Linked DNA regions of Drosophila melanogaster. The protein of the gene in region 1 purifies or fractionates together with the protein of each later gene. This does not show direct contact. Each region holds a gene or a part of one and is shown on either strand. Other genes may lie near its edges.

What was found.
Region 2: the proteins of sbr (region 1) and Nup62 purify together in Drosophila melanogaster (affinity purification with western blotting, with the first as the bait; one study listed by BioGRID). This does not show direct contact.
Region 3: the proteins of sbr (region 1) and Orc3 purify together in Drosophila melanogaster (affinity purification with western blotting; one study listed by BioGRID). This does not show direct contact.

The regions. Positions count from the first base shown.
Region 1 is NC_004354.4:10,838,294-10,848,842, reverse strand, and holds the start of sbr (small bristles), read left to right. Parts: upstream 1-1,750; 5' UTR 1,751-2,254; coding exon 2,255-2,351; intron 2,352-2,415; coding exon 2,416-2,576; intron 2,577-2,643; coding exon 2,644-2,736; intron 2,737-3,761; exon of another isoform or gene 3,762-3,923; coding exon of another isoform or gene 3,924-5,738; exon of another isoform or gene 5,739-6,153; coding exon of another isoform or gene 6,154-6,597; exon of another isoform or gene 6,598-6,638; intron 6,639-8,947; exon of another isoform or gene 8,948-9,189; coding exon of another isoform or gene 9,190-9,330; intron 9,331-9,387; coding exon of another isoform or gene 9,388-9,456; exon of another isoform or gene 9,457-9,613; intron 9,614-10,549. Other genes in the region: Pgls (6-phosphogluconolactonase), read right to left, coding at 362-478, 598-1,073, 1,205-1,343; CG32669 (uncharacterized protein), read left to right, coding at 3,924-5,738; CG15209 (uncharacterized protein), read right to left, coding at 6,154-6,597; CG15210 (uncharacterized protein), read right to left, coding at 9,190-9,330, 9,388-9,456. UniProt on the Drosophila melanogaster protein: Mediates the export of the majority of mRNAs from the nucleus to the cytoplasm. In ovarian follicle cells, plays a role in transposable element silencing regulation by enabling the nuclear export of flamenco (flam) transcripts and subsequent piRNA biogenesis.
Region 2 is NT_033778.4:16,342,559-16,352,127, forward strand, and holds Nup62 (nucleoporin 62kD), read left to right. Parts: upstream 1-1,818; 5' UTR 1,819-2,022; coding exon 2,023-3,207; 3' UTR 3,208-3,270; downstream 3,271-9,569. Other genes in the region: CG7997 (uncharacterized protein), read right to left, coding at 1-96, 165-212, 448-477, 537-628; wcd (wicked), read right to left, coding at 3,317-4,837; CG15710 (uncharacterized protein), read right to left, coding at 5,111-5,908. UniProt on the Drosophila melanogaster protein: Essential component of the nuclear pore complex. The N-terminal is probably involved in nucleocytoplasmic transport.
Region 3 is NT_033778.4:13,198,877-13,210,944, reverse strand, and holds Orc3 (origin recognition complex subunit 3), read left to right. Parts: upstream 1-4,397; 5' UTR 4,398-4,436; coding exon of another isoform or gene 4,437-4,564; intron 4,565-4,620; coding exon of another isoform or gene 4,621-4,765; intron 4,766-4,821; coding exon of another isoform or gene 4,822-4,947; intron 4,948-5,019; coding exon of another isoform or gene 5,020-5,169; intron 5,170-5,228; coding exon of another isoform or gene 5,229-5,469; intron 5,470-5,544; coding exon of another isoform or gene 5,545-5,555; 5' UTR 5,556-5,736; coding exon 5,737-5,763; intron 5,764-5,826; coding exon 5,827-6,630; intron 6,631-6,689; coding exon 6,690-7,927; intron 7,928-7,992; coding exon 7,993-8,089; 3' UTR 8,090-8,217; downstream 8,218-12,068. Other genes in the region: CG30058 (uncharacterized protein), read left to right, coding at 1-104, 246-316; CG34312 (uncharacterized protein), read left to right, coding at 378-486, 538-689, 748-883, 987-1,060; FLASH (FLICE-associated huge protein), read right to left, coding at 1,150-2,692, 2,752-3,294, 3,349-3,539, 3,596-3,853; CG34315 (uncharacterized protein), read left to right, coding at 4,437-4,564, 4,621-4,765, 4,822-4,947, 5,020-5,169, 5,229-5,469, 5,545-5,555; ValRS (Valyl-tRNA synthetase), read right to left, coding at 8,351-8,853, 8,918-9,947, 10,039-10,056, 10,121-11,383, 11,442-11,609, 11,761-11,946.

The DNA.
Region 1 (10,549 bases):
GCACAATTGCTGCTGAATTTTCATAATTTTTCTTTTATTTTAACAATACGAAGCGTTTGTTGTGCTCGCGAGTGCCGTCATACTGGGTGCGCCATTTGTTGTGTTACCGAGTTCGGCCACACTGCGTAAATATCGATATTTTTCATGTTGCCGATAGCTTTTTTAAACCAGATTTGCATTTTACAAACATTTTCTAAACATTAAATAAATATATAAAGAAATTCAAAAATAATTGTAAAATCACAATATTTGGAGTGTTTATTTATTTTCTCCAACCTTAATAGCTCAACAAATTAAACGCTCTCGAAAAGATTATCAAGGTAATTATTATTTACAAGATGCGATAGTTAACTAAGGAATGTCATTTTAAGGTTTCAATTTCTTTTCCAGCACCCGCGTCCACAATCAATGTCAACTGCCCTTTGGTCGGATTCACCCACGCAGCGGGAAACTTCTTGTCCAGATCGACAAACACACTCTAAAAAATATAATAACAACAAAAATAAACCTTACAAATGAAGTTTTTGAATTGTGGTTAAAAATATCAGATTTCTTGCTCATATTCTTTTCCATCTTATCAAGCTAAAGAGACCTCACCTTGACGACACTGGCTTTTGCGGCGCCCGTAACCACGAAGGCGACATTCCGTGCCTTATTGATCAGCGGCAGGGTGAAAGTGATCCGCTCGGGAGGCGGCTTGGGCGAGTTCCGGATGGGGATAACCAGGCGCTTGGTCTCCTGCAGGGTGGCTGGCTGCTCGGGAAAGAGGGAGCAGGTGTGGCCATCGGGTCCCATGCCAAGCAGCAGCAGATCGAAGCGATCGACTTGACTTTTGACCTTCGCCTCGTAATCTGCGGCGCAGGCGTCCAGCGGTTGGCTGGTATCGGCGCGGACGAACTGGGATTCCTGGATGCAGGGCAATTGGGTTAGCCACTCGGCCCTGTAGGCACCATAGGTGGAATCGCTGTCATCCAGGCGAACATACCGCTCGTCACAGAAGAAAAACACCCATTTGGCCGTTTTTAAGTTGCACGATTTCAGGGCTTTCGTTAGCAACTGGACGAGGGAACCACCTGTAAGCGAAACAAGACACTTGACTTTGGGAGCACAAGTTTAAAGATCGCACCTGGCAAGGTCACCCCTCAAGTTTGGCTTATCACAAGCCAACCCACTTGACCTGCATGACCTGTGCGTTGATCCTTACCCGAAAGTCCCACGCTGAACTTATCATGTTTGGCCAGCGCCTCCTGGGAGCAGCGCTGGAGAAGATCGCCCAGGGCCTGGACAAGTTGCTCCTCCGAAGCGGACGGGATTACTTTTAGCGCACCCTTTTTCTCCGACATATTGCTTGATCTGATAATAAAACTCGACTCGACTTCGATTTGTCAGTAATCACCATTCCCTCTCTCAACTATCGATTACCAATTTATGAAATACATTGCACCGTTTGCGACAAAATGAAAGTAAGTAAATCTTATACGAAAACATTTCACTACCTCTATTCGTAAAATAACAACTTATTTGATATTGAGCAAAAAAGGAGTGTGTACGTGTGTGCTACAACTATATAATATTTAAAGTAAGAATGAGGTAACTCTCTTCAAAACAGTCCAATAAAATAATATTGCATTCTAAAGTTTAACTGCAACAAAACAAAAAATAGCCAATAATCTTTAGATTTATCGCGGTTGTTCTGCGCTAGAGTGTCATCACTGATTACGACCTGTGCGATAGTTGGCCCGCCATCATCGATAGACCTGTCAGAAATTAAGAAAACAATATCAACATCAAGCGAATATACTTCGCTCGCTACATATTTCTAGTTAGTTTTCGTAACTTTTTCGCTTTGGTGGCAATTAAATCAAATTTCCTCGAAGAATAACTTGTAAAAAGGTCGCAAACATCCGTCCAGTTTCTGCCAACCATCGGCCACTGGCTATCGAAAGAAGATCGCTAGTGAATTAAATTTCACAAAATTGCGTTGTACTTTGGCCGTGGAAATTTGCCAAAAAACAGCAGCTACTTTGCTGCTATATTAGCAAATAGGTTCAGGAAGTCGAGAAAAATTTTTCCAGAAGTTGGCAGCAGTTTGTGTGAATGCAAAAAATACATCGCACATAGTTTTTTGCCCTCAAGACAGTTTTCTCAGTAATAACAACAGCACCCACACAAACACACAACACCACTCAGCTAAAAACGTGCTGAAATTCGCATATCTTTTTGTTGCATACGTTTTTGAGTGAATATTAGTAAGATGCCCAAACGCGGCGGTGGCAGTAGCCAGCGGTACAACAACAACGTTGGAAATGGCGGCGGACGTTACAACGCTCCCGAGGATTTCGATGATTTTGGTCAGTACACGGGAGTGCAAGAAAATGAACCCTCCAGTAACCTAAATATAATGTATTCCTATAGATGTGGAGGATCGCCAGCGACGCAAGGATCGAAACAAGCGGCGCGTCAGCTTTAAGCCCTCCCAATGTCTACATAACAAAAAGGACATCAAGCTGCGACCCGAAGATTTGCGTCGATGGGACGAGGATGATGACATGAGCGACATGACCACGGCCGTTAAGGTGCCCACCAACCCCACATGTTATCCCTATGCACATTTCTAATCTAATGTATAATTAATTCCAACAGGATAGACCCACCTCCCGACGTCGGGGATCGCCCATTCCGCGCGGCAAGTTCGGCAAACTGATGCCCAACAGCTTTGGCTGGTACCAAGTCACGGTGAGTTTGGACTACCATGTCATATAGATATCATAGCCGCAATGGCCCAGACCAAAATCATGTGATTTAATAGTAGTTTTATTACTAAGCTAAAGAAGCAAAAGCATTCAGTCCTCCAGCACCTGTTAGATTTATAACGTTCGCCATTATACAAATTAATCGACTGTTCTACTGGATGGCTCTTCTTATGCGAAGTACATATATGTTAAATGTAGTTTTAAGTATTTAGATTACTAACGTCACATAAAACTTCCAGAAGTTTGCTCCAGTGCTCTACTAATTTCCCGCCCCTACATAGAACTACAAACCCCAGACTGGTCCATATAGATACCAGATTTACGACAGCAGTCATAGAACTATTTTTGGTCTCCAAGAACATCATGTGATTCGTCTGATGGCTTTTTTTTTTTGTTATTGGCAAAAGATCGCGTTGAGGGAGCAAAGTATCCGGCAAGAATCGCATAAGTTACAGCGAAATGTTGAGACTTATTTGTTTATTTGTACACTGCTTCCAAAGCTCCAATGCCGACTTGCCGACTGGGCTCTTTGTGTTTATTAATTAATTTCCCTCGTAAAAATCGTAAAGCAAACAAGCCAAAGTTGGGCCGGGGGGATACCAGCTCTACACAGCTAACGACAATCGGGTACTACAATTACAATTGCAATCCGACGAGCGGGCAAATAAATATTTATGGATGGCTAAACACAGTCGTCCACAGTACCAGCCACAAGTGTTTGTCGGCACGAGCTAAAAGTGCAATGAAGTCGAGCCTTTGGTGGTTTGACAGTTGCCATGACCCTCACCTAAATGGTTTCCCATTTTAAGGGCTTGCGGGCCTGCGGTTGGGTTATCCTTCGCCTGGTTGTCACCCTATCCAGCCGCACGTGGTGCAACACAACAGGTCGCTATCTCTCGACGGGGTCGTAAATGCCATAGTAAAATGCCCAATGCTGACTCTCCACCAACAAAAGCTTGCGGTTTCATTCCGTTTGGGCCTTTATTTCATCGACGGCCGGCAGACGGTGAAGACGTGTTCCAACGTCCGACGCCCCATAGAATATATCGCTTGAATCTCAAGAGGCCCGATTAGGGGCAACTTATCAGTTTGGAGTGATTAGATGTGCGACTAGGGTTCCGTCGGGAAAATCAGCCTAACACGTGCCCCACTTAAAACCCGGCATCTGCAATGGCTACTTTGGGCGCCTGGGACTACACGATCCTGGCGGTGGTGCTGATCATCTCCGTTGCGATTGGCATCTACTACCGTTTCGTGGGCGGCAAGCAGAGCACCACCACCGAATATCTTCTGGCGGATCGTTCCATGAACGTGGCGCCTGTGGCCTTTAGCCTGATGGCCAGTTTCATGTCGGCCGTCACCATATTGGGCGTATCCATGGAGAACTACCAGTACGGTACAATGTTCGTCGTGATCAATCTGTCGTATGTGTTGTCCACGCCGGTGGCCGCCTACCTCATCATTCCGGTCTTCTATCGCCTAAAGACGGCCAGTGTGTACGAGTATCTGGAACTGCGGTTTGGCTATGCCACCCGATTGGCCGCCTCGCTGAGCTTCTCGCTCCAGATGGTCCTATACATGGGCATTGTGGTCTATGCGCCGGCTCTGGCCCTGGAAGCTGTCACTGGACTGAGCCAGGTCTTCTCCATCGTAATTGTTGGAGTCGTGTGCACGTTCTATGCGACGCTCGGCGGAATGAAGGCCGTACTCATCACGGACATCTATCAGTCGCTCCTCATGTTCGCCGCTGTCTTCAGTGTAATCATCTGTGCCTGGGTGAAGGCGGGCAGCTTGGAGGTGATATGGCGCGTGGCGCAGGAAAACGGACGCATCAATCTGACCAACTTCAGTGTGGATCCAACGGAACGTCACACTTGGTTCACCCAGATTTTAGGCGGATGTGCCACCTATTTGGCCATCTATGGTGTGAATCAAACGCAGGTCCAGCGCCTGATGGCGGTGAAGAGTTTGAGTGCCGCTCGAGCGGCCCTGTGGTGGTGCCTGCCCATTCTGTGCCTGCTTAGTCTGAGCACCTGTTTCTCCGGTCTGTGCATCTACTGGTACTACCGCGACTGTGACCCGCTGCTGGAGGGTAGAGTCAACTCGCGCGATCAAGTGATGCCGCTCTTTGTCGTGGACACGATGGGCGAATACACCGGTTTGGCTGGCCTCTTCGTTTCGGGAATCTTTTGCGCCAGCCTCTCCACGATTAGTTCGATAATCAGCTCGCTGGCAGCCGTCACCCTGGAGGATTACCTCAAGCCCTTGGTCAGCTGCTGTGCCAAACGCACGCTCACCGACCGTCAGACCTTGTGGTACTCCAAGCTGTTGTCCCTATTCTTCGGAGCCCTCTGCATTGGCATGGCCTTCATGGCGGGATCAATTGGCGGACTACTGCAGGCGGCACTGTCAATCTTCGGCATCATTGGAGGCCCTCTGCTGGGCCTCTTCACGCTGGGCATGTATGTGACCAAGGCGAATGAAAAGGGAGCCATTGGTGGGCTGCTCATATCGCTGGCGTTCTGCTTTTGGATCGGTTTCGGACAACCGAAGCCACCGCTGGTCAGCTTGGATATGTCCACGGCTGGATGTCCGGTGGACAGGAGCTTTGCCCGCGACATTTTCCTCAAGACTGTGATAGCGGTGGCCGAGGAAGAGCATTACTTTTACCTGTACAGGATTAGCTACATGTGGTACGCTGCTTTGGGCTTCCTGATAACCTTCTTTGGCGGATGGCTGTTGTCCTGGCTGTTTGCCCTGCTGAAATGGGACAACAATCGACGCATCTACCAGGATGCGGACTGCACGCTAATCAAGCACGATCTCTTCGTGCCGCCGATAGCCAAACGTTTGCAACGGCGACAAATGCCGCTCCTGGTGGTCACCGGCACCAGTTCGGAGATTGGCGGCATCACGACAGAGAGCGCTACGGCGCCGCCGCGGCTGGACGAGATCGAGTGGGAGAAACACAAGGCAGTGGCGTAACTGAACACATCACCTTAGTAGTTTTTTCTTTTGTTTTTTTTTTGTAGCGCCGTTTTGACCTTAGTTACTCTCCATTAGCTATCACTGCAAGAAATAATAACTTTGCTGTACAATAATACGGTTTAGTTTATTTGCATTTCTATACGAGTCTAAAAATGAGGCAAACTATTATTTGAAAGAATTGCTGCTGGAATTACAATGCTCCTTATAATGTTCTAAAGAAAGTCAGGTCGGAGAATATCATATAGTTGCCATAGTATGTATATCTGCATGGGTCATCCCACTTCGTTCTCCGTGGAGCGTACTACTAGCCTTTTTCTCTTGTCACACAAAATATATATATATATATATATGTATATATATATTAAGTGAACTTTGGCTTTAAATAAACGAGCTTACTCATTAAGCAACTAAATTAACGCTCATCGATGGCCTGATTGGGCTGCTCCTCCGGTCCTTTGGCATTGTAAACATTGCGATTCTGGGACAGATGCCATAGGGCTAGCAGGCGGGCCAGCTCCGTGTAGGTTAGCTTGCGCAGATCACGTCGATCGGCCAGCTTAACTCCGGCGGCCTCTAGCTCCTCCACCAATGTGACGGCATCGTATTCATCCTCCGGATTCTGCTCATTGCGTGGCGCAATTTTTCCGACGAACTCCGACTCTGGCACCGCTTCGCTCTTCACCATGCGCTGCATCTGCTGCACATGCTGCTGTTTATGCTGACGTTGCTGACCCAATGGCTCGTCGACATCTTTTAGCTCCTGTTCGGGATTCATGGGCAGCGAATTGGCCAGGCTGACCATGCCGAGGATCACCAGGAAGATGACCGGAATATTGTTGCACCCAATGGGTTTCATGTTTACGTCCGACTGCTAGTAGCTTTGCTGTGGCACTGCTGCCCGCCTGTCGCATGTCGATCGATCGTGGCCTGGACTCGACTCTCGGGGTGCGCTCCAATTTCTATCTGCCTTCCAACCCGCTCGTACGCTCGCTCGGCTCCCTATCGCTCACTCGAACGCCCCGTGTGGCAGTGCTGGCTGGCGAAGACATTCGCTTTCTTCTTCCAGCATTTGGCTATTATTTTTTTTGGTTACTTTCGAATGCCATGGATTTTGGCAAACAATGGTGCCATTAAACTGCAAGTAAGGCGGGGATATAGATTCTTTTACTTCTAAAACTATATAAATTTGTAATAGATGAGCAGTGAGTGTTTTTAAAATGTATATTTTATTGTATGTTATGCAAAAAATGTTCCATTTAATTCAATACGCTGGAAACGAAGCGCAGCACTGTCGTTTGGGGGGCTGCTTTTGATTGAAAAGTCAGTGTGTAGGGTCGGTTAAATTATTTTATCTGCATATGCAGCACATACACTATACTATACACTATACAACATCGACCCCTGGTACATATGTTATTTAATTGTCTGGCTGGTGCCTTTTGTATTTTGTATTTTGTATGTAGTAGATCCCGCATTTCGTCGTTTTTTATTGTGTATTTTTGTTGGCTACGTTTTTTTTTTATTTTTTCTGTCCGCCTCCAATTCAATTTATCTGCGCAGTTTGTGCTCACTCGGTTCGCCGTCTTCTATTTTCTGCATGTTGGTTTGGCCTAATCTTATCAGCTCTTATTCATAGCCAATTGAACGAGTTGTAATGGTCGAGAGTTTTTAATAATTTCTAGTAGATATGGGTTAATGGACGACGCGCCCCGCGTTAATCAGTCGCAATGTTTCCTTGTGTACCGAACCAATCGGTCAGGCAATCTTAGGTCTAAGAACTTTGTTTGATTGGTCAAAATGTGAATGATATTATTCTACATTTACATGTTCATATTTCACACAAACAATTATTGCTCTATTTGCAACAATTCTAATGGAATACAGTTGAAAAGCAACTAGAGATACCTCGTCTAGAGTTTTAAATTCTTATCGGTAATTGGGCTTATTTAATTACTCACTGCTACAATTACTTTGCCTGCCTTCAGGCGTTGCTAAAAGCTTTTTTTTATAAACAAATTGCAATAGCATAGTCTAACTTGTAGTGCATGCCGAATTAGTGTCAACAAAGAAATTATTGTTAAATATATTGCGCTATTATGTGTTGAATTATAACGATTTGACAAATACACGTAACGACGTTCTTGAGTGACAATGGAAATTGAAAAAAAGTCGAGATTGTCAAGTTGCATGTAACGTGCGACGAAGTAAGTATTGATAAATGTAAATTCTAAATGGAAAATCGCAATTGTCAGTCTTATTTGCATTTTCCTAATGGTTTCACATCTGGCATGCGAGCAACCTACATACATATGTATGTGCTATGCTATATATACATACATATGTATATAAAGTGTTTATAAAATAAATGTACGTGCGAATGGAATGGCCAAAACATTCCACTGACTGATCGTTGTTAGCTTTTATTAGACTGCAAACACGTGCGCCAGCCCGCTTTGGTTAGTTAGTCATTTTTGGTTGAGAATGAAAAGAAGAAAAAAAAAAAACCCAGAACTGTCAGCAGCGTTGATAACCGTGTTGTGGGCCAAACACAACTGACTGACTCACTGTATAGGATAGCTCCATAGCCAGCTATGGGAGGTACCCTATCAAGGGCACCCAATAGCAGCAACCAATCCACTTGACTCTCTTTTGTGTGCATCTCCTGATGTCATCGACCAATAATGCGTTGGATCGTTTCCCTTCTTATCGCTAGCCAGTTGAACTGGCAGATTCCGCCGATTCCAACCTGCGCTCCTGCGGATTCCCACCTTGCCAATCTCATATCCCACATTTATACAGTAGATATGGGATGAGCGAATCTCGTTGAGTACTAGTTTCTACTCAGAACTATCACCGATCACAGAACAGTTAAGAACTTCTATTTCTAACTATGATTTCGTTTCTCAATACATATTTTGAAACAAATACAAGTTTGATGCAACAATTGTTAAACATTATTCATAAAAATTGCATTGAACAGCGAATATTATAATCAAAAGCAAAAGCAGCACTTATTTAATGATATTTGTAGATAGTTAAATAGTTATAGATGCATAGCTTTAAGGTTGTTCTATATGAAATTATCCCATTGAATGCAAAAAATGCAAAAGTGATTGATGATTTCCTGAATCGAAGCCACTTTATAAGACTGTATTTGATTTGAATGAAAGCCCGAGTTTGCCTTTTAATTTAAAGCCAAGTGCAATATTTAGCGATTCAACAATTTATTACGATATTGAAATTCAGGCGCATAACAATTAATAATTACTCGTTAACAGCTTAACTTGATTCATATTCATATTCACATTGTTCGTATGTACATTATCTTTTTATTATTTATTCACACACTCACAACAGACTCACGCACACACTCACGCACACATTGGCATTGAAATGGTTTCAAAAAAAAAGGTTTTGGTTCTTTTCACGTCAGTTAATCTGATGGCAGCTAATCCTGCTCCTGCTCCTCGCTGGTGGTGGTCACCGTCTTCTCCTGCCGCGTGGTGCTAGTGGTGGTGCGTGTCAATGTGAAGACACCGGTGGTGCCCACCTCATCCAGCGGCTGGGCAATGATTGTTGATGTGGTGCTCTGGAAACGAGGTGTTAGACATTTGATACTACATATATTATGAGGAGGGTGTCGTACGCCATTCTTGGTCTCCTCGGGACTCCACGAGCGTTTGTCATCCAAATCCTTTGAGCAACAGCCTCCCATTCTTTGGTTTTGTGCGTATATAGAAATACGTATTCGTTGTATATATGGTATAAATGGTTTGGTTCGGAATGCCTTTATTTTTCGTTCTATATTAATGTATATCGGGGGCCAGTAACTTGTTGCTGCTTCATCGGCGCACGTCTGTCAGCGAATGCCGGTGTTCGATGTGGTGTTCACTTGTTAGCCAAACGAACGAACCGAAAGCCCAACCCAACCCAACCCAACCCAAGCTGCGCCGCCAGCTGTGACTGCGACTGCGACGCCGGAGTTGGGTTGTCATAGCTATATAGCTCCATATCAATTCTAGAAATATGTCTCAGCCAGCGAGCCAGCCAGCCAGCCAGTACTCGCATTCGGTGTATATTGTATTGTGTTGAATACAATAAGTATATGTATAGCTCCATGTATGCCTGTGAGCTGTACAAACAAACCATTCACATTCCAAACAACCAACCAGCCAGCCACCCACCTCAATGCCCCCGTTCGAAACTCTATGTTCCCGAGAATGTCAAATCCGATCTGATTCCCGCTTTGAAAACAGTCACAGTCATCATCTTTATTTTCAAATGGGAACCACTGGCCTTGTCGCCTTAACGGTTCCATTTGCCCATCGAGCAGGTGCAGCGTGTCAACTCAAGGCTGCCATTGTTGTCTGTGGCCTATTTGGTGGCACTATTCAAAGTTGCAACGTGACAACTAATGTCAAAATCCTTCCAAGAGGATTGTGTGCTATGATCTTCCTTTGGTTCATTTAAAAAAACCAAATGGGCCATTAACAGCTTAAATTGGGCACCCTTATATAGAGCTTTTAACTAATTAGCAGAATTAGTCCCAAAAAAAATATAAATAAATACCTTTGTAGTTAGGACCAAACTTTATTTAAAGATCCTATGACACATCAACTTTGCGGGGAAATTCAAATACACAATGGTTGTAAATTAATAAAAACACAACAATTTGTCATTTTTGAATGCGATATCACGAGGGGGTTTATGTTGTTCGTATGTTTTAGTCAATGGAAAGTTAGGGTTAACCATATCGAGGCAACCAATAGACGCAAAAGAGCCAAAATATACATATAATCGTATACAGC
Region 2 (9,569 bases), on another chromosome or scaffold:
TCCAGCCAGCAGTCATCTATGATGACGTACTCGTAGCCAGCATCCGCATATCCTTCAGAAACCAGGAGATCCGCATGTCTTTGGAAAAGTTTTTCACTGAAACAGGTGAAATGAACAAGAAGTAAAGGAACATTTGAGGATCTGAGTTGGGTTTGGGTATTAACCTGATGCACTCATCCGGATACAGTTTACAGTCGGTGATGCAACGGAATCTGTAAGTAAGACATGGGTAATCAAAAATTCAGAGAATCTTTAAATAGACTATAGTTATATCAGTAGTGTTAGTTATATCAGCAATGAAATAAACAAAAGCGTTATTGCAGCGTAGCGTGTAGAGTTCATGCCAAGGCCTAATTTTTACTAACTATTAAAGTTTATTTATTTTAAATGTTAGACGTAATGATAATTCTTTATGATCTAATCTAGTTGCTGGTAAATATTTCTTACCGCTCCCAGGACATCCAGCCCATAGGTGGCCTAAAATCGACAGAATTTCAATTAAGTGGCCTAGAATCCAATCAAAATTTAATACTCACTTTAGTGCCAGGCCATTATCGAGGCCCATGGATAATTGCAGAACCTGCAGCAGAAGAATCCCGCCCAGAAAGACGCCCCACGTTCCGTACATGGCGAGCTAGTGGCACCGACTGAATCCTGGCCTTTGGGCACCCAGGGAATTTATATTCTCCAGCGGGCGGCACTCCAGATAACTCTGTTTGGCAGGGGCACCTGAGGAGCTGGAGGTAGGGGAATGGCACCTGAAGAGCTGACAGAAGGTTAGTGGCTAATTGCTATTGCAGCGGAGTACTCCCATCGACTGATTGGTGTTCGCCGGGTGGCGCAAACAGCGGGCTTTCTCGATTGCAGGAGGAGCCGGAGCCCCTTATCACGCCAAGTTCACAGCGATCACAGGGAGCAAATAGAGAAAATCGAGGAGAGACCGAGAACAGGGGCTTTTGATTCTGATATGCTTTTGTTGTTCAATTCTGGCGCTGCTTGCCAGCTACACTGGTCAACAAAGTTGGGGAAATAGTTGGAAGCATAGTAGACTAGAGCACGGTACTAGTGATGGGAAAACATGTACTAACAAAACATAGGAACTATGGTCTTTTATTAGAAAATTTTGATCTGGTTTTTAAGAATAATTTAAAATTTCTGTTTTTGAGGATCAGATCTCAGATCTTATGAAAATCTTAAAAAGAATCTTATTACAAAAAAAAAAAAAACCGAAGGTCAAAGACAAGCTCTAATTGTTGTACCGCATTACGTTTGTACCTTAGGTAATTTTTCTAATTTTGTGGCTGGCAGCTCTGAAGAGAACCTACACAGGTACGCAGAACGAACCTTCTGATAGGAAGCACACATGTGTTTAGCTGATTTAGCAAAATGCAATTACTGAACTGAGTGCCGCTGCACTTTGGGCTTGTAATTGAATTCTTTTGACCCAAATGTTACCTTATCGCCTTTGCACTTACAGATAGCAAAAGATGACTAATTAAAGCCGGTGTTTTGTTATTGATTTTGTTTGTACGATTGACTACGTTTTCTTTCTGAGTTGGTTTTTTTATTTAAGTTGCGCGGAATGATTTGTTCCATGTACGACTAAAACTGGAGCTAAAACATAGCTCTCGACCAGTGTTGTTTGTCGATTTCGCAAGTTAGTTGATCGCTGGTTAAAAAAACGGACACAGACATAAATATATTTTAAAAGTGCAAAAAGTGATTGCAAACGTTAAAATAATATAAATGTTTTGGTTTTCAGCATGTTTTAGTAACAAAAATGTATCGTCGACTGAGCAAAGTACTTCATTTGTATTGCCAATTCAAAGAAATTTAAAATTTAATTTTGCCGCCCAATCTTCAAACTGCTAAGTGTTTTGGCTTGAAAATAGCTAGCTTGAGCTCAAATTTAGTTGATTTCCAACACCGACAACATTGCGGAACTCCAAGGAGGGGTCACACTGGTTGCTTTTGGCGTGTTTCGTTTGATTTAGATTTATATTATTCGTCTTAAGTTTAAGCATGGTATTCCAGTTGCCAACAACAACCGCCGCCCCGACCGGAGGCGCAACATCGTCGTTTTCCTTCGGCCTCAGCACAGGAACACCAGCCGCAGCACCAGCTTCAGGAGCAGCAACCACGGCTCCCGCCACAAAAACCACATTCTCTTTCGGAACACCGGCACCTACTGCTGGTATCGGTGGCGGAGATGCAGACAACAGCAAGGCGCAGGCTCCACCAGCCTTTGGATTTGGCCTGGGATCCGGGACTGCTTCAGCTCCCCTCACGCTGGGCACTCAAGCCGCCGCAAATCCAGCGTCCACCACTTCTGCGACCGCGACTGGAACCTCTGCTGCTCCTCCCGCCTTCGGAGGCTTTACGGCTCAACCAGCGGCATCTGTGGTGCCAACTATAGCAACCAGTGCACCCAACACCGCAGCTACCACAACTGGATTGCTGGGCGGGTCTGGATTGGGAGCTCCCAAGACCACGGCCGCTGCGTCCACAACTCTGACTGCAGCTCCGTCGGCCATAGCCTCCACGCAGGGAGCTGCACCGGCCCCAACTTTAAGTACTGGTGGTGCTTTTGCCAATCTCACTACCGAAACCAAGACCACAGACTCATCGGCCGTTTCCACGGCATCCCAATTGTCCTACCACCAACTTGAGGAGCATATCAACAAGTGGACTCTCGAGTTCGAGGAACAGGAAAAGGTATTCACCGAACAGGCCACTCAGATCAACGCATGGGACAAACTGCTCATCAGCAACAACGGGAAGATCGTCGAGCTCAACGATGCCGTGAAAAAAGTGAAAACCGATCAGCAAGTGCTGGACCAGGAGCTGGAGTTTATAGCCACGCAGCAAAAAGAGCTTGAGGACAGCCTGGGACCGCTTGAGAAGGAATTCGTTAATCTCCCGAGGGTGGACATGGAACGCAGCCAAACCTACCTGATGGTGGAGAATCTGGACACACAACTGAAGCAGATGTCCGAGGATCTAAAGGAGATAATAGACAACTTGAACGAGGCCAACAAGGGCCAGGACACCACTGATCCCATCATACAGATCGGAAAAATCCTTAATGCCCATATGAATTCGTTGCAGTGGATCGAATCGCAGTCGACGAACATCAGCAAGAAGCTGGAAGACATTGGCAAGATTCAAGACTCCCAGAAACGCGATATTTTCCGAGCTCCTTTCTAAAGATAAGTCCCCTTAATTTGTTAACTTAAATAAAGATGGTTCCATTGTAACCACAGAAAGAGTAATGATTTTATTTAAGAATTTATTGTAAACATCATACTGCCTTCAATTAATAACCCTTGAAGTACTTAAGCCTAAAGAGCGGCACCTGTTTGCCCTTAGTGGCAAAGGCCAGGAAGCTGCTGTGCGGCGAAAAGGCCATGGAGGTCACAAAGCCAACCTTCTCGTTCTGTGCCGGGAAATTGGAGTACACAGTGGCGCTGGGGAAATGGGCCAGCTTAAAAGCATTCGGCGCCTCACTGGAGCACATCGCCAGTAGCTCAGATGAGTGATTGAACTGGAGATCCGTGATGGCAGTCCGTAGGTTCATGAAGCGCTTCTCGGGTTGTGGGGCCTTGGATGCGAAAATGCTCTCGTAGTCGTAGATGTTGACCACGCCCTCTTGACTGCCGGTGGCCAGTAGGCGTTGGTTGGGAGACAGTTGAATGGACTCTCCATGTATACAGCCGTCGTCCATGAAGATGTGCTCGATGAGGTTCTGGCGCAGGTTCAGCACGCTGACATTGGAAGTGGAACCGCAGACGAGGATCCTCTTGGAGTCACTAGACCATGTGAATCCCTTCACTTTGCCCTCCTGCTTGAAGCTGTGCAGCAGCTCATTTGTTTTGGCCGTGAGCAGGTGAATGGCTCCAAACTTGCCAGCAGTGACGATAAATTTGCCACATGGAGACACCTCAAAGCGGTGCATAAATTCCATTGCGCCCGGCAGCTTTAGCTTCGATTCCTTGGCTTCCAGCAAGTCGTAGGAGTAGTAGAATGGTTTCACAGAACCAAAGAACGCCCTTGTGCCGCATGGAGCAATTCTGGAGCACGCCAGCGGGAACTTCTTGAAGCGCATGTTGTGCAACCTTTCGTTCTTTTGCCCATCCACGGCGTAGATGGTGGCTAGGCCATTCATGCCCGCCACTAGAGCAGCAGTACTGGTTGGATGAAACTGAATGCTGGTGGCATTACCCTCGGCATATGTGGCCCTGTTCAGGTCTTTGACCCGTTTAAAATTCAGAGTCTTCTGGGGCAGATCACTGTTCCGGGCTTTACGATCGATAAAGCCAACCGTCCGCAGCAGTTCTTCGTCGGAGGATACGTCCTCGTCGTCCTCATTTTTGACCTTCTTTTCCGCCCACTTGGGTTGGTTAAGCGTGCGCTGGAATCGCGCCGTAAGATACTCCTTGTACGATTTATCCTTGCGCAGGTGGTTCAGTGGACCCGTGTGCTTTGTGGCCTTCTTGACATCGCCCACCTGCAGGTCCTCGTCATCGGAATCCGACCAGGCGGCTTTCCGCTTGTCGCCTGGCTTTGCCTGGCCGGGATTTTCCTCCTGCTCGTCTTCGTCATCGTTCGGCAACTTTTGTCCCACGGACTTGGCTAGATTGGTGAGCAGTCGCTGCCTGTCGCCGAAGAGCACCTTTTCCATGGGCACCTCCACATAGTTGAGCTCCTTGGCCTGCGAGGCCTTTGGAATATAACGTTCCCTTTTGATCTTTGCCGGTTTCTCTTGCTCCTGCTGGCCGTAGAGGGCCTTCAGACTCTGCAGCTCCTCCAAACCGTCGCTGGACTCGTCTGAACTCATCGTGTTCGCTGGAAATGCACGCAAATTCGTTTATTTACGAACTTTTCTTTGGACCGCAAAAAAATATACACGTGCAGCTGGGCGGGAAATCGACTAACGCTTTAAATCAAAAATACCACGCCACGGTGGATTTATCGATAAGTGTGACCACATCGATAGCAGATCGAAATAGATATCGGTGGGATGGGCGCCATAATTTGAAAATTATAAAAAATATTACAATTAAAAAATATATTTATTTAATTTAAAATTAAAATGTGCGAATTTGTATAATCAATTATTAAAACTTTGCACAACTTCTGTAAATGTTACCTCGCTGACCTCGGTGATTTCAATCTCACGCTTTCTTTTGCATTTATCCGGCATCTGGCAAGTTTTCAGATGACGGTGAAGGAAACCCTCATATTTGTACTTTTTCCCACAACGATCACAGATTAATTCGGGCCTTCTCTTCCCTAAGATCTTTTTCTCCTCCTCCTGGGCCTTCAGCCTTACGATACATGCGTCGCACGCGTATCGACGGGTCACTTGGCCAGGCTTAAAGCAGGCCTTGAACTCCGTGCGACAAAAGACGCAATTGAAGGTCTTGGTGATGGTGTACGCCCCTTCGTAGGATTCATCCGTGGACTCGCACGGTATCAGATGGCTCTCCAAATGGGTGCGATACTCCAGATCCGTCCCGAACTTGACATGGCAGGATGCACAGGTGCGATTCATTGATGGGCTTCCATGCAGGAGCCTGTGGCCGATCAGGGCATCCACCGAGGAGAAGATTTTCTTGCAAATGTTGCACTGATGCTGGGACACGTCCGGCACATCCTTCATCATGCGTGCCAAGCGTCTTTGGCAGGCCATCAGATGGACCTTGTAGGCACCGGCCGTGCGAATCACATTAGAGCAAAGCGGACAGTGGAAGCGTTGCGTGTTGTCCTCCAGGAAAACTTTCTCCTCTTTTATCGGCTGCAAACAGGGCGCCACGTACACCTTGGTAACAATACCATTATCCTCCTGAATCGACAGTAGAGTAGCTGGTTCCAGCTCCTCGGAAATCCAGTTGCCAGCACTTGTCATAATCCTTTGTGGGCTCTTGTGTTTCGCCAGTAAGAAGCGTACGAAGAAAGTGAGAAAGTCGCCGGTCATTGTCATTGAAAGATAGAAAGTAATACTCGATACTCGATACTCGGAAACTGTCAGGGCTGGAAAAGAAAGAAAGCGTATACGCGATAGGTATGCCTCAAAAATGTAAACTTTTTAAATTTGTCCAGGCAATGAAATTCGAATCCAACGCTTTCCTCCAAAAAAAAATTAAACGTTTTATTCGGATTACCATAAATGAGGTGGTAATATATTTAGCCATCATTTAGTTTAACCAATTAAGCAAACAATCTTCATGCATTTTTACTGTCTAAAGCAGAAGTATACATACTATATATATTCGGTTTAATTTCGTTTTTAAATGAAGTAGGTCAGCTTCACAGTTTCGAACGCAGCAAATAAATTATGTTTTATGAACCATATTAAAGGCTTCTCCATGATTTCGTCTGTGTTAGGAATTATTTTTAAAATATCATCTTAGAGACTTAAATATAAATTTAATTTAAATTAATTTCTAAGGAAGATAGCTATAGTTCAATGGCAAGCCTGGGCAGAATAAGATCTATACTCGTAAAACTGATTGTTTAGTTTGGTCTTTGAACTGTAAAATGCAGGAACATGTCTTTCGAGTGCCTCTAATCCCCGCCCAACTTCTGGCATTGTGGTAAGCTCCGGATCCCTGCTTTATGACACGCGTAATGCGAGTCAAAATATGCAATTAAACAAAAACTTCTTGACTGGAAAAATATTTGCATAACTTGGGCAAACAAATGTCGGAGCACGTCGTCCTCGTCACCAGTCGACAATGTCGAGTTGTTGTTGAACTTGTCATTACACACGCACAACCAGGAGAGCACCAGTCTCATCCACCCACTAACCACCCAACCACCCACTAATTTACCCATCCACTGGGGGTGGTGCTCTCGCCAAAGTGTGGATTAATAGCTGGGGTGGTGCTGCTGCTGCCAGAAATCAGCGCTCGTAAAATTTACGTAAAATTCATTAAGCGCAACAAAAGACGCTGACTGCGTGGAGCAAAAGGGGGCAGGGGCAGGTTGGAAGGGAAAGGGGGGGTGGCGCCTGCAATCGCTTAGAGACAAAGCCCTGCATAGTTGATAAGACGCGTCCTTCGCGGGGGGAGGACGTTGCTTGTAGGAGCAGTGGGTGTTTAGTTGGGTGCCTGGGTGGGTGACGGCTTGGCATTTGTGGTGCCCTCGAGTGTCTCCTGCCAAGTCAGGCGTCAAGCCGCACGGAGAGCAACCAATTTTTGTCATTTCAAAGGGTCCAGCATTATTGTTGCGCCATCCAGGCGGCGATACACTAGCAAATAATTTTCTATAAATATTAAACATACTTATCATTAATTTTAAGCAGCGCGAAGTTGGGTTGTTGGTATTTCCTCAAAAGATTGTGAATTATTTAAAAAGCATACACTATTCTTGAATGTATTATATGCTTTTTAAACCATTTAGGCTATTCTTTTTAGTTATTTTGAAGTAAGCTATCTGAAATATGAATATTTTTCATTTCAGAATCTGTTGATTTCAGATTAACAGAATATGGGATTCTTTTATATCTTTCTACTAATCCTTTACGCAGAAGCTTTTTTAATCGTTTGCCTTAAGTAATAATAGCTAATCAAGTTCCAAGGATTGAAGTTTGTCTAAGAATCGCTGCATTTTCTGGGAGTGTTCCCCGCCCATTTTCCGCCCACTTCCAATATCCTTGAGTTCCTGTGCAGCGAGGCGCTGCGATTCAGCGCTCCTTAAGTGGCCTGACATTGTGGCAGATCCTTTGCAGTCGCACTCCCAACTCCCCGCCATGCCAGTATCCCCCATTCCGCGCCCTGCATCTCGCATCCTGCGCTGCAACTCCTGCCGACTGACAGATTAGCGTGTTGACATTAAGTTTGTCCTTTGGCAGTGTAGGCTAACATATGGCCTTTAGTTGGCTTTAAGTATCGGGCGCATTTAGCTCCAGCTCCAGCTGCACATGCAAATGCTGATAGAGCCACGCATTACAGCATGTTGCGGTCGCTCCTTGTGGGCGTGGCGCCTGGCCACCTGCCCCTGTGCTCCATCGCTCCACCTATGTGCTATCTTTCGAATCACGGATGATGGCTCCTGTGGCATGTAATGAGTTTTCCATTGCCCCGCACACGGTGCATCAGGTTACCCGTACCTACATCACCGCTGATTTGTGCGGTTGATAATTGGGCGCGCGGTAATGTTGGTAATTAACGTCTTTCTGTCCACCGATATCGGCATATTGACGGCCATTGTCAAGGGCGCGTTTTATTTGCAGGACAAAATCCTGTCCAACGCAACGTTCGTCGTTCAAACGGAATTAAGCCAAAGGGAAAATCTGGCGACAAAAAGCGTAAAACTTTGTTGGCGATACATTAGCGAACAATGCATATTGACATTGTATTGACAGTGCGCGACATGGCAATAGCACTTAAACACCATGCCATTTCGAATCGCTTTAATTGGTTAAATAAATGTATGACTGTCGTGTGCTATAGAACTTTTTTGACATTTCTATATCAATGAAGCTGGAAATCTTTATCTTTAAATTATTTTAAAAAGCCAGGAATAAATAATCAGCCTTATAAATTATTCTAAGCGTTTGACTTTAAAAGGTAGTATCTCTTCTAATAAAATCTCCTATGTAGGATAAGTTTTAGTAACTTTTTCAACGCAAACTCGCGTCTGGTTGAAATGGAAATTTCGGTGAAAAACTATTGAAAGCTAGCCGAAAATGGTCAGGAAAATAAAAGGCTTGTGGCCAACGCTTTCATGTCGACCATAAAAATAGCAGACGCATAAAAAATTAATAAGCGATGGTCAGTCGACGAGGACGACGCATTGCCGTTGTTCTTGTCCCTGGCTTCAAAAAAAAAAAACCCCTTGTATCCTGCAAACGCCCCTCAATCCTTGCCCCCTTTACTCCCCCGCCACCCCTTCACTATATTGTCCAGTGTGGCAGACATCATTAATGCATAATTCAAGCGTTTGGCAGTTTTGTGCTCGATGCTTTCAATATTCAATTTGAATGCCGCCCAAAGCGATTCGAAGCGGTTTTGTGTCTGCAGCATTGTTGTCCTTTTGGCGTTGTTGTTGTTGTTGTTGTTTTTATCTGCCCCATTTTGTTTTCGTCTTCGCTTTCATGCTCGCTTATTTACTTGACCGCCCCCCCATTTTCCACGCCCGCTTTTCCGCTTTTCCATCAGCGTATACTACCTGCTGCATTATTCAGACGCCTCGACTCGGAATCGAACAAAATGCATGGTAAACAATTTCCATTGCAAAGGGGGCGGGGTTCGAAGGGGGGCGGAGACAATGGCCGCTTAGTCTCGTCATCTTGCTGTTGTTTTTCCGAACGGCTTTTCCCCACTTTCCCGCCCCCACCAATCGTAGGTCTTACAGCAACTGGCAAGCAATTGGAATTGGAATTTATTTAGCTCAAAAACAAAGGAAAATAATAAGTGCCTTACAATTCACTAATTGCCACCTTTATTTTGTAATTTCAAGTAGTATTCATAAAAATACAAAGCATATTGGGAAAGAAATATATTGAAAATACAAATATAATTTTTTCAAGTGGTATTATTTATGAATGTGCCATATTTATTCAA
Region 3 (12,068 bases), on another chromosome or scaffold:
CGCAATAATTCGCGTAATTATTGATATCATTTTTTTCATTTTCGTGTGCATTAAATTGGGCGACCACGATATCCCGGGACTGATTTTCATCATTATTGGCCTAAGTAAGTTGTTTCATATATATATTTACAAAAAAAATACACAAGATGGCCCTGACTTTCATTTCGATTGAATGCATATAATACCTAATTAAATGTATGTATTAAAGTATTTCAAATTAACGCACTTCTTATCGCGACCCACAGTTATTGCAGTCTGCTTGTGGATCGTTGTCTTCTCGTGGTACAAGAAGCTTGGAGGCTCAGCGGACATATAGATCACTCAGACGACAACATTACCCATACGAAAATGATCCCGAGACACCAAGTTAAATTAGAATGAAGTGTACCATTAGGAAGTGCTGTTGCTGGGAGCTAAGATGGGGAGCCTTGATTATCGCCCTTATAGATATGATTGTGACGGCGGCAGTTGTTTTGGAAACTAAGTGTATGTGTTTTAATATGATCTCAATCGATTTGAATATAAAGTGTCGCACAGATCTAGCCTATTATGAGGACTGGTGGATTGATCATGATATGGGAACGTTTGAGGTCAGCTACACTTCCACCTACTACGTTTGGATCATCACACTTGTCATCCACTTTGCCCACCTAGTGTTTTGTGTCTCAGTTATTGGCTCTGTTTGGGTGGTAAGTATTCATTTCTAGTTAGAAGCAATCTATTAATTAAGACTCTCGTCTTTTCCAGAAATCCAAAAAACTGGTCATTGGCTATCTAATAACAGGCGCAATTCGCATTGTTTATGATCTTATGTTTTTCATTTATGTTTGCGTCGCAATTGGCCCTGTGATTTTGACCTTATTCCTTATCATCGGCGGATTTGGTAAAGCTTGCAAAATATTTGATATATTTTCACACTATCCAGAATTAAGAATAGTTTGCTTATTTTAAGTACCTTATTATTAATAATAATTCAAAACCCACAGGTGTAGCCATTTACTTTTGGATCGTTGCCTACTCATGGTTCAAGATGATCGAAAGTCCTGATCGCGTGAATTAACACCTATTCACCCAATCATTGGGTGCAGCAATGTAATATATATAAATAAATTCGAAGTGGACACTTCAAATCGATTACACAATTTTATTTCAAATTGGTTTGTCCGCAGCAGTCGTAGGTATTTCCATAGGTGTTGGCTTTCGTCGGCGACCCCGTCGTTTCACTCTTAAAATGACCTCGTCCTTTATCTGTTCGTACTGGTAGTCTGTGTGGCCCAGGGAGCAGCGTTTGGTCACAGTTGAGCTCTCGTCCTGCAGACTGCAGGCACCCAAAGTTTCGTCGATGGTAACATCATGGGCTGGCACCTGCGGCGAACTATCCATGTTGACCTTTCTCTTCTTCACTGGGGTCTTCTCCGTGGCCGTCTTCTTAGGCGTCGCCATCGGCGACACAGTCTTCGATTTCGTTTGGGATCTTAGTGGATCAGCCTGTTTTGGAGTCTGGGTGAGTATTGTGATGAGGCTTTTTGGCGTCTGCGGCGCTCTATTCGACGTTGAGGTCACCACAGTTTCGTCCGGCGACTGCTGGTGCAATTGCTCTAGTGCCATCTCAATGGCATCTTCTGCGATCCGCAGTTTCGGATATGTGGATTCTGCGGTGCTCGCTGCATCCTGCTCCTTCTTCAGCATGTCAATGGCAGTTTCCAGGATAACCTCGTCATGTTCATCGCTGTGATCCAGTTTTGTTGAATCGGGCTTGGCGTATAATATAGTAGCAGACTTTATTGGAGTTTCGTCCGAGGTGGTAAAAATAGTTGGATCTTTCATCTCTGCGCAAATCTTTTGGTCCTGTGTGGCTAGGTTCTCTTGATTTAAAGCGGAATCTGTGACAGCTGCTGGCGCTTCACCATGGTTGTCGACCTTTACAGCAAAATGGTCGATATTCGCCATCTTGGGCAACCGAATATCCTCAATAATCCTTACTCCCAAGTCGGACTCGACCACGGAGTTAACTTGATCCATCGGTTCTCGGATCTCTGCTTCATCATTCTCATCATGCTGAGAACACACATCAGCTTGAGACGTCGTATTCTTTGATAATACTATGTTGTCGTTGCTTTCTTCTTTGCTAGGAGTTTCAACAGCAGTTTCAACTGCAAAAGGCTCTTTTTTGTCTAACTTTGCCTGTGTCTCTTCAGATTCTTTTCCATCCTTGAATTTGTCCAGGGGTTGCTCATCAGCTGGGCAATCTTCAGCTAAAATGTTTTTACATTTTTCAAGTACTACAACTTTGGGAATAGGCTCCTTATTTAAAAGTTGGTGGCCAGAGTCTTCTGTACGATCCTGTAAGATTACAGGATCTAACTTGATCTCATTTTTAGAAAAATCCGCCGATTCTGGGTTAATTAAGCTTAACCCCGGAATAATCTCATGTTTTGGAATACAAGGTTCAGCAATTAAACCATTTGTCGGTTGAGTAATATCCTTCGTCTCTACTTTTGATTCCTTTGAGGAATTTGCATTGGTTTCTAAAGCAGCATCCCTTCGGTTGGAAACGACTTTTTCAGCCGGTTGAGATTCAGTTACGAGTTTGACGGTCACGGGGACTGGGCTCTTGCTGCGTTGGTCATTTGTTTCATCGTCAGTAAGTGTGATGATGGCATTTGCTTTTTCTCTTGGCAATTGTATCTTGCTACAAAAATCAGATGGTGCTATCAACAAATGTAACTTATGTCCCTCTGCTTTACTGACCTGGGCGATGCGGATTGGCTTCGCCGTTTGGCGTGCCGGGAACTGCTTTCTTGATTCCTGTGATGATCTCGCCGGGAATTATGTTTTGGACTCCGGCTGCGATGTGGATCTGGACGACGAGCCTGTGCAGTAGATTTCCGATCGGTGGTCTTTGAGTGTTCCGGCCTGGGAGACTTGCTTCTTTGGACCGATTTCTTGGCGTCTTCTCTTGTCCTAGATTTCCAAGCATCATCCTTTGAGGATGACTTCTTGTCATCATCTTTATTGGTCGCCATCTTATTATCCTCCTTGGATTTTACGCCTCTTTCAACATCTTTTGATACGACTTTCGTTGTGTCATCTTTTTTGGTCATCATCTTCCTAGCATCATCCTTAGCGGCGTCCTTTGCAGCCGTTTTGAACGGATTTCTATTCGTTTCCGGATATTTCCTGACATCGATTGGTGTAGATTGAAATTCTTTCGGACGCTTACTTTCGGGTTCCCTTGCACCTGGTACGTCAAACGCCCGTGCTCGTTTTCGTCGGAAGCATACATCGTCCTTTCTGTTGAACAATGTGTTGTTTGTTAAGAAGCAGGGAGTCAATATGCTAACTTACTCGTTTCGCAGCTCGGCAATCAGTGTCTCTTTTCTCTTTACCTCCGCCTTAGCTGTGTCCAGTAGATTCTGTAGATTAACCTCCATGGTTTTTATCTTCTTGCCAAGTGCCTTATTCTCAACCTTTAGCGCTTCAATTTCGGCCAGTGCCTTTTCGTATTTGGCTTCCCATGCCTGTAGCTCCTTGGTATTCTGTGAGATGGTAAATGGGTAACTCTGCTGAAAGGACGTATTCCTGCACAACTTACACGATCTTCGGCCTTCTGAAAGTCGTCCAAATCATCGTAGATGTCCAGTTCAAGGGATCTGTCCATTTGGTCAGGCTTCTTTGAACCTGCAGGCTCTATATCGTACAAATCGTGATAGATATCCAAATCCATGGATTTATCCTTAACGTTGGACTTCATCCCGCCCGCGTCCTGGTCTTCCAAATCCATCAAGTCCTCCAGAGCTTCGGGCAGCACCAGTTCTCCGCCAGATTTCGTGGCATATGCAGGCGTTTCCATACCAATCGCTTACGTTTCTTCTTGGCTGCCCTTTAAACAAGGATACATAAAATGAATTGTTAGAGTTACTGTTTTTTAATGGAGCTACTTTATTGATTACCTGTTCAGTCATAAATTGATCAAAATTCGAAACACAAAAGAATTTCAATGTTCTTGATTTTTGTTTCAGGGAATAAAAGTTCCACTAAAGCTCAATGGTCACTGTCCTGAGCATTTCCTCCAAACTGGCGTGCAATTTGTTTCCCTGCCGTGTATTTGTATAAATGTAATTATTATTATTATTCTATTTAATATTGTTAGAAAATCCCGTGTTGCCGCCAATCGATAACAGAAGATGCAGTTGATTATCGGAAGCAACAGCTGACCGGCTGAAAATGTGGCAACCCTGATAGTGGATATCGATATCCAGCAGCAACATTTGGCGCCAAAACGAATATTTTAAAAATTTTATTATGCACTTACGTGTTTTCCCAAGAATATAATTTTAAAATCAATCTAGTTCCCATTTCGTATTACTGTACACTTAAATTCGTTAAAAAAAAACATCACAATACAAACAATAATACTCGAGAAACACTACACAATGGCAGACATTCCGGAAAAAAGTTCTTACTACAAGAAGGAAAGAAGAAAGTTCGCTCTGATCACTTACCTACTAACCGCGATATTCCTGATCCTTGCGCTGTTGCAATGGGCCACTTTCCGCTTTGTGTACGTATGTATTTTCACATTACTTCATCCTCACTGCACTTTTTCTTAATTTTCAGAAATTTTCTAAGGGAATTTTTTACTTCGTACCATTGGTTGAGCTGCCTTTTTTTTGGAATAGGCCTGATACTCCTCGTACTTTTCATATTTTTCGAGGTACTGCGCTTTAATAAAATGGTAAACTGGTTGTTTGCCTTTCTAATTGTAAGTCTACAATGTGAAACATAACCTGGGTGGCAGTATGAACTTATTCTTTCCAGTTTGAATGCATTGTACTGGGGATTGCACCGCTGGTTGCCCGCCACTACAAGTATCAGTTTCTCTTCAGCTTCCTTATATGGACCGTAGCATTGGCGCTTTTTATTGTCTGTGGTTCCTTTCTTCCGGTAAGAAGAGTCCACATGAAAGCCATTTGATTCAAATCTGAAGCTTCACATTTTTATTGTTATCCCCTTAAGCTGGATCTTACTTTGGATGTTGTGGTGCTATTTGTGCTTGCAGTGGTTTCCATTATCGGCGCCATATACTTCGTGATGCTCTACATCGTGGCTAATGTCGCATACTCGTTTATAATCGCCCGTTGCTTTATAGTGATCAGCATCTTGATGGTTAGTACTGAGTCATACATTTTTGAATTAGTTTCTGTCATTTAGTTTCCTCCTTACAGTTTGTCATGTATCACGCGCAGATTATAAACGGTGGAAGGTTCGCCGAGATGCGCACGAAGGACTACTTCCTGGCAGCCATCATACTGTTCCTCGATTTCCTGCTCCTCTATCTTTTCTCATTCCAAGTGGCCCCAAAATGGTCGGATCGTTGCGATGGCGAACGTTCAAAAAACTTGGTGCTGTTCACAGAAACTACGACGAATTCGTATCCACCAAAATGGTGGCGTACGAGCACGAAGGGTATGATTTCTTATTATTAGTTCATGTTAGATGAAATATTCAATTAATTTATACTTTTCACACTTGTTTTCAAAGATACCCCCTAAAGTCGTTAGCCAACACTGCCGCCCGTTTGGCGCCAAACACAACAGCCAGCTGATTTCATTTCGCGTTCCTACCGGTGAAGAAACTTTAATTGGCACAGAGCTGACCTAAACAAATAAATAAATAAACGCAACCCGGCGACTTAAAGACTCCACGACATCGGGCCGCAGTGCAAAGCCAGCGATGGATCCCACCATTTCAGTGTCCAAGGTGAGTGGCTTCGGCTTCCAAACTGGACATAGATGTTTAACTACTTATTTTTGTTGTCTGCAGGGCTGTTTTGTCTACAAAAATGGCGCTACGAGAGCAGGGAAAAAGGCGGCCAGCAAACGGAAGCGTCCTGCCGCAGAATCCAGTAGTCTTCTTGGCAAAGAGGTAGTGCAGCAGCCCTTCTATGAGGAATATCGCAAGGCCTGGAATCAGATAAACGATCACATTGCCGACCTGCAGCACCGCAGCTATGCCCGCACTCTGGAGCAACTGGTGGACTTTGTGGTGGGGCAGGCAGAGCGCGACACCCCGGACGAGGTGCTGCCCACCGCCGCCTTGCTAACGGGCATTAATCAGCCGGATCATCTCAGCCAGTTCACGGCACTTACCCAGCGACTCCATGCCCAACGTGCTGCAATGGTATGTGTGCTGCAGTCCAGGGATTGCGCCACTCTCAAGGCGGCCGTTGAGACATTGGTTTTCGGGCTCGTAGAAGATAATGCAGAAGTGGAGCAAATGGAAGACGAGGACGAGGACGAGGATGGTGCCGAACGGGATCGCAAGCGGCTACGTCGCTCGCAGTGCACCATGAAGCAGTTGAAGTCTTGGTACACGAACAATTTTGACTCGGAACAGAAGCGCCGCCAGCTGGTCGTCATCCTTCCCGACTTTGAGTGCTTTAACGCAAGCGTGCTGCAGGATCTTATTCTAATTTTGAGCGCTCACTGCGGCTCGCTTCCATTCGTCCTGGTCCTGGGAGTGGCCACGGCCATGACAGCTGTCCATGGGACACTACCATACCACGTCAGCAGCAAGATTCGTCTAAGGGTGTTCCAGACTCAAGCTGCTCCCACGGGCCTTAATGAGGTAATATTCCTTAACTCTGTGCTAGTTTATGTACTAATCGGTTTTCTAACAACCTTTAGGTGCTGGATAAAGTTCTGCTGTCGCCCAAGTACGCTTTCCACCTGTCGGGAAAGACATTCAAGTTCCTGACGCACATCTTCCTATACTACGACTTCTCCATCCACGGCTTTATTCAGGGCTTCAAGTACTGCCTGATGGAACACTTCTTTGGTGGGAATGCCTTTGCTCTTTGCACAGACTACAGCAAAGCATTGGGACGCATAAAGCAGCTGACCCACGAGGATATGGAAACCATCAGAAGGCTCCCATCGTTTCGTCCGTACGTCGAGCAGATCAATGATTGCAAACGCATCATAGCCGTGCTCACGGACGATGACTACCTAAAGAAGAAACTGCCGCAGTTGCTGCGCGACTGCCTGCTCCACTTCCTGCTTTTCCGCTGCTCTCTGGAGTTCCTTACAGAGCTGGTTGGTGATTTGCCGCGCTGTCCGCTGGGAAAGCTACGCCGGGAACTGTACGTCAACTGTCTTAATCGTGCGATCATTTCGACGCCGGAGTACAAGGAGTGCCTGCAGATGCTAAGCTTTCTGTCCAAGGACGAATTTGTTGCTAAAGTGAATCGAGCCCTGGAAAGAACCGAACAGTTCCTGGTTGAAGAAATTGCTCCGCTGGAATTGGGCGAGGCCTGCACTGCTGTGCTGAGACCTAAGTTAGAAGCTATACGCCTTGCAGTGGACGAAGTGGTCAAGGCCACCATGGCGACAATTACAACGACATCGCCCAATGAAACCCGCCAGGCGACTGACCATTTGACTCCGGTGGCCTCGCGTCAAGAATTGAAAGATCAGCTCCTACAGCGTAGCAAGGAGGACAAGATGCGGCATCAGCTGAACACGCCCACCACCCAATTCGGACGAGCTCTACAAAAGACTCTGCAGCTTATCGAAACGCAGATTGTACAGGATCATCTCCGTGCGCTGCAGGATGCACCACCTATTCACGAACTTTTTGTGTTCAGCGACATTGCTACCGTGCGGCGAAACATAATTGGTGCTCCGCGGGCTGCACTGCACACTGCCCTGAATAATCCACATTTTTACATGCAGTGCAAGTGCTGCGAGCTACAAGATCAATCACTGCTGGTTGGCACACTGCCCGATCTCTCCGTGGTTTACAAGCTGCACCTGGAGTGCGGTCGCATGATCAACCTTTTCGACTGGCTGCAGGCCTTTCGATCTGTTGTGAGCGACAGCGACCACGAGGAAGTGGCCCAGGAACAAATCGATCCCCAGATCCAGTGAGTAAAAAAATGGATTTCTCTCTGTAATATCATCAATTTCATTTGGTTTTCCTTTCAACCAGGGCCCGATTCACGCGTGCCGTAGCCGAGTTGCAGTTTCTGGGGTACATTAAGATGTCGAAGCGCAAGACGGATCATGCCACTCGATTAACCTGGTAGCTCGCTCGGGCTATGAATAACCAAAATCCCTTAGGTATTTTTATCTTTTCTATTTATTTATATTGGGGCAAATTTCATGTGTGGGACGTTATGAATAAATAAAACATCAATCGATTTGTCTACTCTGTACGAAATGCATTAACTTTGTTTGCGAGTGAAGCGCGTTCTTGTATTTTTTAAGTAAAGCCCAGCAGCTGGCAAGGCAAGCGTACTAAATATCAATTACCAGTCTTCCCGACTAGCGGTTACCACGTTCCCTGTTCACATTAGTTTCAGAGTCTCGATGGCGGCAGCGATGCGTTCGATCTCTGCCCGCGACTCGCAGAGTTTTGTCTCGTTGGCCTCCTGCACCTCGGCGGGAACCTTAGTTGCGTAGTCGGCGGCCTGGATGGCCTGAGTTAGCTTGCCCACCGTCTGCACCAGCTGGTCGCTCTTCTTCTGCAGCTTGGCTATCTCCTTGTCCGCCTCCACGAGTCCCTTGAGCAGCAGGTGCACCTCGCACTGGCCCGTCACGGTGAGGATCGCACAGCCCTGCGGTGCGGGACTGTCAAAGACCACATTGGAGCAGTAGGAGATTGTGGCCAGATCGCTGGCGTAGCGTTTGAGTATTTCACTGGGCACCGAATCCGTGCATACTATATACACCTCGGTTTTAACCTTGTTGGGCAGATTATAGTCGGAACGGGCAGATCGGATGATTCGCGCCGCCTTCTGCACAAATTCAACGTCCGATTCTATCTTTGTGCTGCGCCAGGATGTATTGCCTAGTTATGAGGAAGTTAAATTTATTTGAATTCTATCATCATGAAGAAATCAAATGCGACTTACTGGGATAGCTAGCCACGCAAATGCTAGGAGCGGGATTTGCCCTCGGAAGCCGCTGGTAAAGTTCCTCCGTGATGAAAGGCATGAACGGGGAGAGTAAGCGCAGTCCATAATCTAGACATACGTAGAGCGTGCGCCTTGCGGCGGTCTGCTGCTCCTCGCTGCCGCTCTGGAAGATCGGCTTCAGACACTCCAAATACACGTCGCACAGATCGTAGAGCCAGAATGCGTAGCAGGCGCTGGTCGCTGCAGCAAAGTCGTACGACTCAAAGCCGGTGTTGCAAGCTTCTATGGCAGCTGCCAAGCGTGACAGGATCCAGGCGTCCATCTGGTTGATCGCTGCAGACGCACTTAGCTCCGTGTCAAACTTCTCAGAGCCGGTGAAGTACAGCAGGGCGAACTTGGTGGCGTTCCACAGCTTGTTGCAGAAGAAACGATATCCCAGAACGCGATTGATGTCCAGGTTGATGTCGCGCGCTTGCGTGATATAGGCGCACAGCGCGAATCGAAGTGCATCCGAGCCGCACTCGGGAATTCCCTGCGGATAATCCTGTTTCTGTCCAGCCTTAGCCTTTTCGATCTCCCGAGGATCCAGGTTGGAGCCCACAAGTTGAGCATGCAGTCCCTCGAGCGTAATGCCACGAATAACATCCATAGGATCGATAACATTTCCCAGGGACTTGGACATTTTGCGTCCGTGCGCATCCCTCACCATGGGGTGAAGATAGACCTCCTTAAACGGCAGTTTGCCCAGCAGCTTCTGTCCAAAGAATACCATGCGAGCCACCCAGAAGAAGAGAATGTCGTGACCCGTCTCCAACAGCGATGTGGGATAGAACGTTTGCAGATCCTTAGTTTGGTCTGGCCAGCCAAAAACGGAGAAGGGAAAGATTCCCGAACTGAACCATGTGTCCAGGACATCTTCGTCTTGTTTCAGTACTATCTTGCTGGCGTCCACTCCAAAACGTTCGGCTGCCTTGGTCAGAGCCTCCGCTTCGCTGCGTGCTACAATCCAGTACTGCTCGTCGTCGTTCTAAAAATGAAACAAATAGGAAAATTTTAATTTGTCTAATTTAAAAGTGTTGTCTATAATTTATAGAGTTATGTTTTGGTTTTTTACGCACCACACTTCCATGAGCAGACTAAGATATCCAACGAAATATATTACCCATACAAATTATTATTATCCAAAGTAGATTTACTCACCGATCCAGTTTGAAGAGAAGGGTCGGTGAAGCTGACATGGTATGCCGGAATCCGGTGACCCCACCACAGCTGCCTCGACACGCACCAGTCGCGAATACCGTCCATCCAGTGGTACCACGTCTTGGTGTGATGCTCCGGAATGATCTTTAGTTCTCCGGAGCGCACTGCCTCAGTGGCAGAGGCTGCCATGTCCGAGCAACTAACATACCACTGCGGCTTAATCAGCGGCTCCACCACGTCCTTGGAGCGACTGCAGATGGGCACCACCATCGGGTTGTTCAATGTCTCGCGGTATAGATTCAGGGCCTTAAGCTTCTCCAGGATTTTCTTGCGGCACTCGAACCGCTTCATTCCAGTAAACTCTCCGTAGTCGCCGATTATGTAGCCGTCGTCGTTGAAGATTGTAATGAAGGGCAAATTGCAGCGCTTGCCCACCTCGTAATCGTTGGGATCGTGGGCTGGGGTGATCTTCACAGCACCCGTACCGAAAGCCATGTCCACGAACTCGTCACAGACGATTGGCAGGCGGCGCGTGGAGAACGGATGGACTACGAACTTGCCATGCAGGTGCTTGTACCGATCGTCTTGGGGATGCACAGCCACAGCAGTATCGCCCAGCATAGTCTCGATACGGGTGGTGGCTACAATGATCTCTTCGTCACTGCCTTCCACCTTGTAGGCGAACTTTATTAGAACACCAAATTCCACTTTGTCCTCGTATCCGGGAATGGAGAGGAATGTGCGACCGGGAATCTCCACCTTGTCCACTTCAATGTCCGAAATAGCCGATCGTAGGGTGCACGACCAATTGACCAGTCGGGAGCTACGGTAGATGCTGCCCTCCTCGTGCAATCGGACGAAAGCCTCGGTAACGGCGCGACAGAGCTTGGGGTCCATGGTGAAGGCCACTCGGGTCCAGTCATAGGAGGAGCCCAGGGACTTCAGCTGCTCATAGATGCGACCGCCCTTTTCCCGGCGCCAGTCCCAGATGCGCTCAATGAACTTTTCGCGACCTAGGTCGTGCCGCGATAGCTTCTCGTCGCGCCACAATAGCTTCTCTACCACCACCTGGGTGGCGATGCCGGCGTGGTCGCAACCAGGCACCCATAGAGTGGTTCGTCCCTTCATGCGGTGGTAGCGCGTGATGGCGTCCTCGATGGCGTTGGTCAGGGCGTGACCCAAATGCAGAGAGCCCGTCACGTTTGGTGGTGGAATGATCATCACAAACTTGCCATTGGGATTGGGGGCGTCTATGGATGCGCGCTAAATGTTCAAAGAGTATTAGAAACCAGCATTTAACCAAAACCAAGGATAAACTCACTCCGTACTCGGGCGTGAAGAAGCCCTCCTTCTCCCACCAGCTGTACCACTGTGCTTCCACATACCGTGGACTGTAGGCATCCGGCAAGGCTCCACTCAGATCCTTCTTCTCACCGGGCGCGGTTTGGGCCGTGTACACGGCAGCCTCTTTCACCTCCTTGGTGCGCTTCTGCAAAGTAAAGTAATTCGAGCATTACATATAAGTAGCACTCGCTTTCACCAGTAACAATGGGCAGCAATTACTGCCTCTCACTTGGCCACATAACCTCGATTTGAGATCACAAAATAGGAGGCACTTTTGGGATGGATTTTTCACTAACCTCGGGCTTCTCCTTCTTCTCACCCGCTGCTGGAGCAGCCGCAGCCTTCTTGTCCAGCTTCGCCTGCAGCTTGGCCAGCTTCTCCGCCTTCAGACGCTCCTTTTCCAGTTGCTTGGCCGTCTTGGGAGGATCACCCCCGGCTCCGGCTGGTGCGTTGGCATCGTTCTGCTGTTCAGCCTCGGGCATTTTTCAGTTGATCTCAGGATTAAATCTGGATAGTGCAACTGTAAGTTAAATGACGAAATGGACGAAGTACATTACTCACATGCAGTTAGACTGGAGTCGCAGAAAAACATATGAAAACGTGT